Schizosaccharomyces pombe: one gene and its partner. Changing the gene in region 1 together with any one later gene gives a genetic interaction. Each region holds a gene or a part of one and is shown in the gene's direction. Other genes may lie near its edges.

Evidence for each region. Genes that interact genetically often act in the same process or in processes that back each other up.
Region 2: mutations in hrp3 (region 1) and rhn1 together harm fitness more than expected from each alone (negative genetic interaction), as found in Schizosaccharomyces pombe (2 studies listed by BioGRID).

The regions. Positions count from the first base shown.
Region 1 is NC_003424.3:5,375,725-5,379,481, forward strand, and holds the start of hrp3 (CHD family chromatin remodeller Hrp3), read left to right. Parts: upstream 1-2,099; 5' UTR 2,100-2,202; exon of another isoform or gene 2,203-2,691; intron 2,692-2,697; 5' UTR 2,698-2,702; coding exon 2,703-2,894; intron 2,895-2,951; coding exon 2,952-3,757. Other genes in the region: U1 snRNP-associated protein Prp40, read left to right, coding at 1-1,975.
Region 2 is NC_003423.3:1,033,522-1,037,278, forward strand, and holds rhn1 (RNA polymerase II transcription termination factor), read left to right. Parts: upstream 1-2,000; 5' UTR 2,001-2,016; coding exon 2,017-2,164; exon of another isoform or gene 2,165-2,212; coding exon 2,213-2,313; exon of another isoform or gene 2,314-2,381; coding exon 2,382-2,576; intron 2,577-2,623; coding exon 2,624-3,343; downstream 3,344-3,757. Other genes in the region: serine/threonine protein kinase Ppk27, read left to right, coding at 3,556-3,757.

The DNA.
Region 1 (3,757 bases):
AGTGAAGACAGAAGATTCTCGAGTTTATTACTACAACTCAGTAACGCGCAAAAGTGTTTGGGAAAAACCAGAGGAGTTAATGAATGACTTTGAAAAAAAGCTTTCGAAACTAGCTTGGAAAGAATATGCCACCGCTGATGGCAAAAAGTATTGGTATAATGTCAATACCCGTGAATCAGTGTGGGATATTCCTGATGAATATAAAGCTGCCCTTGTTGATGAACCGGAACAGCAAAAAAAGGCTTTGTCGTCTAAAATCAAAAGCAATGACAACAAGCCAGCTGTTCAAAGCATTCAACGGCATGGTCCGGATGTTGCTGCTCCTTCAAGTCAACCAGCTAAAGATCAAAGCCAACAAATTTCACAAGGCAGTCATAAACGAACTATAAACTTTGTTCAACAAAAGGATAAGCGCCAAAAACGTTCTAATGATTATCAGCACGAAAACTATGATACCTATGAAGCCGCAGAGCGCGCTTTCTTTAAATTTTTAGACTCTCATAATGTCAACCCAAGCTGGACTTGGGAGCAGACTGTCCGAGAGCTTTGTGATGCTAAGGGCTATTATGTCATGAAGGATCCTTGGCATCGGAAATGTGCTTTCGATGCGTACATCTTAAACTATTTGACCGATCAAAGTGATGCAGAAAAGAACCGAGTAACTAAGATTAGGAAGGAGTTTATTGAGATGCTAAAAAGTAGTGATAAAATTCATTCTTATACTTTGTGGCGTACTGTGAAGAATGAATTTTCTTCTCATCCTGCTTTTAACGCTACTTCTTCTGAAACTGAACAACAACAACTATTTTTTGAATATAAGCAAAAGCTTTTAGAGGATGAAAAGCAGTTGGAAAAGGATCGCAGAAAGGAAGCATTGGATGATTTTTGTTCGCTTTTGCGAAACATGAATTTCGAGCCTTACACCCGCTGGAGCGTTGCGCAAGCAAAATTTGATCAAGATCCAAGGTATACAAGGAATTCAAATATGAAATATCTTTCTAAATTAGATGCTCTTGTAGCATTTGAAGATCATGTTAAGCATTTGGAACGCGAATATATTCTTGACAAACAAAAGCAGAAGAAAGAAAAGCATCGTATAGAAAGGAAAAATCGTGATGCCTTTCGTGCGCTATTACAAGACTTACGCGTGCAAAAGAAGATTACATTACGCACGAAGTGGAAAGAATTATATCCCATAATCAAGGATGATCCAAGATATCTTAACTTACTAGGGCAATCTGGCTCTACACCATTAGATTTATTTTGGGATACGATCGTTGATTTGGAGAATATGTATCGGGAAAAGCGTAATTTGGTTTTGGACTGTCTTGAAGTATTGCAAATATCTGTGGATGACACATCTAATATTCCTGAAATTATAGCAAGGTTATCAGAAAAGCTTAAAGATCGAGAGGAAAGTGAGGCAGTAACTGAAGACCTTATTGAAGAAGTTGTTAATCGATTACGTGATAAAGCGATCCACAAAAAAGCTGAGGAAAAGCGTGCTGATGAACGACGCATTCGAAGGAAAATTGATAATCTCAGAAGTGCCATTAAATACCTTAAACCTCCAATTTCTGCCGATGCTTCTTACGATGAAATTAGACCTTTAATTTCTATTCTACCGGAATTTGCTGCGCTCCATTCCGAGGAACACAGGATGGCTGCTTTTGACAAATATATAAGACGGCTTCGAGAAAAACGGGAATTGGAAAAGCAATACCAAAACAGAAGAGGTTATTATGATGTCGGTAAAGATGAAAGTTATTTAGCGAATAGTGCCCGACCACATAGCGGATACGAAGATGGAAGGTTGGAATATTCTGCTGACTTAGCGTCAAAAAGTAATAGGAATGAAATTAATACGATGCAGGATGTACAGGAAAATTCAATCTCTCATGTTACCGCTACACAACCGGCTGTTAAAAATATTGTTGATGATGCAGAATCTAGTGAAGAAGGTGAAATTCGTTAGTATTCAAGTTAGAAATTTAATTGTTAGTGCGTTTAATACACATGCATTTTAATGTTCTCTCAACTCGCTTTTTGTATTCATACAGTTTGATTACCTTTAGTAGCGGATACAGCCTGTAGCTATTTGAACCTCTACCACCAGTACCTCAAAAATTGTTTTTGTAACAAAACTAGCAAGTTGCTATTAAAATAGCAAAATACTGCTATAAGCGTTCTATTTAATAACGCGTAAGTAAATTTTTATTAAATTTTGTTGCAGCCACAGTTCGTTTTCCGAATTTGACGCTGAATATGTGAATGATCCACGTGTCGCATTTTTTTGTTAAACCTACATTGTTCAATGCACTGAATGTAGCTCTCTTTTTTTAAAAACCTTCTTTCTTATTATGTTTTGCTTGTTTCTCTTGTGATACAATCTTTTTGGTGGCATTCGACCTTTTATTCAAAATTGCTCTTTCTTCGAAAATGAACGATATAGTGCTTCCTATCGAAAAGATACGGGAGTTAATATGTGTTCTTTATTTAAATCTGTTCGGATCTCGTCTAAATATAGTCGTTAGTCAAGAGTTATAAATATTCACATTTAAAGTGGCATCTGGCAGTTCTCAGTTAACTAGAAGTTGGATGGAAGCCTATTACATATTTCACAATTATTCAGCATTTCAATTTCGGAAAAGTTTTGCAATAAGAAATTTGCGAAATTGGTTCTAACTTCTGTTTTAGTTGATATGAGTACAAGTGCTATAGCACTTGCTTTGTCATCATCTAAGGCTATTGAGCAGCTGGATCACGTTCAAACTGAAACCCCTAATCTTAAGCAGGAAATGTCCGAATCCCCTTCGAATAGCGGCGTAGCCTCCAAGCGCAAATTACAATCTACTGAATGGCTCGACCCAGAGCTTTACGGTCTTCGACGTTCTGTATGTCTCACATTATTTTATTCATTATGAAACTTACTTAGATGCTAATCATTATAGGGTCGCACTCGTAGTAATCCAGGAAGATATGTAGACACTGATGATCAAGAAGATGTGTTCCCATCCAAGCATCGTAAAGGTACTAGAAATGGTTCATCTTTTTCTCGTCATCGAACAATTCGCGATTTAGACGATGAAGCTGAATCTGTCACCTCTGAGGAAAGTGAGTCAGATGATAGTTCTTATGGCGGAACTCCCAAAAAGCGATCTCGGCAAAAAAAATCAAACACCTACGTTCAAGATGAAATTCGATTTTCTTCTAGAAATAGTAAAGGTGTTAACTATAACGAAGACGCGTATTTTGAATCGTTTGAAGAAGAAGAGGAAGAAGAGATGTATGAGTACGCAACTGAAGTTTCTGAAGAACCTGAAGATACACGAGCTATAGATGTCGTTTTAGATCATAGACTTATTGAAGGACACGATGGCTCTACACCTTCTGAAGATTATGAGTTTTTAATTAAATGGGTTAATTTTTCTCATCTTCATTGTACATGGGAACCTTACAATAACATTTCTATGATCAGAGGATCTAAAAAGGTCGACAATCACATTAAGCAAGTCATACTTCTTGATCGAGAAATTCGAGAAGATCCGACCACTACGCGTGAAGACATTGAAGCAATGGATATTGAAAAAGAGAGAAAGCGTGAAAATTACGAGGAATATAAGCAGGTAGACAGAATTGTTGCCAAACACTTAAACTCCGATGGCTCAGTTGAATACTTAGTGAAATGGAAGCAGCTGTTATATGATTTTTGCACATGGGAAGCTTCCTCAATTATTGAGCCTATTGCTGCCACGGA
Region 2 (3,757 bases), on another chromosome or scaffold:
CTTCAGAAATTTCCCTTTCAATCGCTAACTTTTTCCATCCTTGTAGCCTTTCATTGCATTCAATTTCATATTTCATTTTACGATCTCATTCCTCAATATATTTTTTTCAAGTGCTTCTCTTTTGTTTTCGTCAATTTCTAACAATGTAGAATCTACAGATCTCTCGTATCTTTCAATGAAAATTTTTAAATCTTCCGCAGAATCATTTGGTGGTGGCAGATTGTAGTCATTATCAAAATTCTCGTTCGACATCATCCTTATTATTTATACAAAACCAGTTGCAATAAACCGCAGTATTCTTTTTAACGATAAAATTTCAATTCACTATAACTATACAAATGATATCTTTTGTAGCCTGCCTTATATGTTTACTAATTGACAAATATTTCTCAGAAAGGGAAATCTTGGAAAATAAAAGTACAAACGTGTGTTGAAAGCAATATTTAATATATGTGTTGTAAGTAAATTCAAATCTCTCAAGTTCCCCTTATATACAACTTTAAACAAAGAATGCTAAGGACAAAGAAAAGAGTTTTTGATGGATTAAGAAACAAGGTAACCTAAGTAACTTCACACTGGGAGTACGTGATACAGATAATGAAAATGGGCTTTATCTGTAAAATAAAAGAAAAATGGCTTATTTGCAGGTAACTTATTACAAAGTTAGATTTATTGAATAGAGGAGTATTTGTTTAAAAACAAACTTCGATTGCAAACATGCATAACAAAGTTAATAGAAAAACATTTCTTTATCCTGCTTTATTGTATTCCTCTTAAGGGATTCTCAACAGCTCTAAATAATCACGAAATATTTAAAGAAAAGGTATATTACTCATTCAAGCTATTAATTGTAAATAATATAACCCATAGCTACAACAAATGCGTTAAGAGGATATAATGTTAGCTACGCAAGTATTTAATTTAACGATACGTAGAACTACGGTGTTTTCCTAGTGATCTATTATATTGTAATTCGCAAGTAATATATAAGTAGCAATTGAGATTGGTATTCTAATATATGGGTTATATTGTTGAATAGATGAATGAGCAAATACAAGACTTGAAAAGTCCTTCAATGATATATTTCTGGTATAGAGTGTTGGCGAAACGACATGAATTCTGAGTTTGACGCTACGCAGAATGAGATTGCATCCATTAAGTTGAAATAACTACTATGAAAGGTGAAATGACTATCATTGGCAGAAAATGAACATTAGTTTTATACGTTGACATTCTTACGGCACTTTTTATTTACAATTTTGCTTACTACTAGTCATCCCGTTTTAACTTTGTTCTTAGGAGTTAATTTATTTTACTTTATTCATTTATTTTTTTATTTTTTTTGAAACTCGTATTATCGTTCAATTTCAGAACATCTTTACTGCTTTGCCTGCCCGGTTGACAAATAAATACGATTTCAAACGAACAATTAGTTTATTATATAATTTTTTACGTAAGTATATGCCATAGTTTATAGTAATACAAGGGAAGCAAAAACAAAGTCTCAATGCGGTGAGTAGTATATAGTAATTCCTGCTTCAGACAAGTCATTAAAACACACATTTGCACTCCGTACACATTTCTCAACACGCCGAATAGTTTCTTTTCATAATCCCCAACATATAACATCACAAGATTTCGTCTAGCATTCTTACCAAAACTCGTACTGTAAATGTTACAGTGAGTGATAGCCGTTAGCTAAGATGACCTGCTGAGACTAAACAAAATCATGAGAAAACGAATAATGTATTTTATATACCTAATATTTAAGAGGGAATCTTGGAGAAAACTGGGTAGTTTGAGAATAATAAATGTTCTTTTCCATCTTTACAAATGAGACGAAGATTTTTGCTCTACCCAAACTAATTAATCTGTTGTTTCAAAATCATTTTAAGTATAGGCTATAATGTAAAACATTGATATTATACAAGAAGTATTTATTACTTATGCTTATGATTTCGTTTGCGATGCTAACAGCAGTGTGTCGTAAGAAACTCACCATCAGCATAAAACAAGATGGCTTTGACTCCAGACACTGTTTCTTCAAAGTTGGCTACTCTAAATGAAACACAAGAAAGTATAACGGGAATAGCGCATTGGGTTATGTTTCACAAGCGTTATGCTGATGAAATTGTCCAAATATGGCTGGAAGCTTTGTATGAATGTATGACTCCTTTAGGAATTTGTTCGATTGTCTAACTAATTTAACCAGCTTCTTCCAACAAAAAGCTTTTATTGCTTTACCTGCTCAACGAAGTCGTTCAACAATCCCGGGTCAAAAAAATATCTGAATATATTGATGCCGTTTCTCCAGTAAGTTACTATCATTATGAGCTTGGAACATCTCCTATATGGTTTAGATTCTAATAATATTTGCATAGTATGTCGTAAACTCTGTAGCTGACGCGTACGCGTCAGTTCCTGCTTCCATTAAAACAAAAATCAAATACGTTTTTGACGTTTGGTGTCAACGCGGCATATTTTCTAAGGAGATACTTTTATCCTTGCAGGAAAGGTTTAATAATGCCGAGAACAGTGGCCATTCTAACTATTACCCCGTTGGCCCTCCGGAATGGGTATGCCGCAATTCAAATAAAATATCAGAACTTTACTAATTGCATAGGCACCTTACACTCGTTTAATGACACAAACTAGTTTATACGCAAAATCTGCTCACTCTACCAAAACTGTGGTAGATGCATTGTATAAATCATACTTGGAGAAACAATCAGATTATTCTGAACTACTCGATAATTATAAAAAGCAACTAAATAAAGCCTCTGAATCATGTAAAGGTAATTATCAGGCTTGCATCGAATCCCGATCCACACTCATTACTTCCTTGGAATCGCTTATAGAAGAACAAAAAAAGCTACTTTCAGAGGAAGAAGAGAGCCTAAAATCTGTTGAATCCATAATTTCTAATTTAGAGAATAAGGAAAGTACAACAGCTACCTCTACCTTGACCGATGCAGGTTTTGGAGATAAAAGTTCTACTGCTGGCAAACATAATGTAGAAACAACATCACCTCCGTCTAGTTCTCCAAACAGTGATGATGCTTATTCTCCTCAAGTAGATTCTTACTCTCCAAGCATTAACAGCGTACCATATACTTCCAATATTGTCGAAAATCCATCTGAAGACAATCTCTCTCCTCTTCCTCCTCCTGCCAGTGGACCCTATTCCCAAGAAGAAGAAGAAACATCATTATTTAAAAGCCAGAGAAAAGAAGAAAATGAAGAGGAATCTAAAGAATTACCAGAAGACTCAGATATCTATGGAAAAGATAGTTCTCCCTCTTCGGACGACTCTAGTGCAGCTGGTCTATATGGTGATAGCTGAAATCCATGAAATGTAATGCTTAGTTTTCATTATTTTTCTTTTTTTTTTTAAACTGTCAATCAATGTGGCAGTCTTAGTCAATAAGCATTTTTAGAATACCTATCCTAACCTTTTATATGCGTCAGTACCTGACTTCATCCTATCGAAGCCGTTTTTGGAATTTTGTATATTTCGAAGAAAGTTGAGCCCTATCTAGGAAGAATGGGCTTTTAATGTCTGAAAAAAAACATTCTTGCGAAGAAAAATCGCTGCAACTATATCCTCTTTCAAATAAAATTCGTCATGTAAATCCGAATATTTCAGCTCTTCCGTCTGAGACTGATATATCTGAATCATTGACGAACGATTTAACTAAACTAGAAATTTCTAACTATGCTCCATTTAATAGAGATTTAGAGACTTTTTCCGATTTAA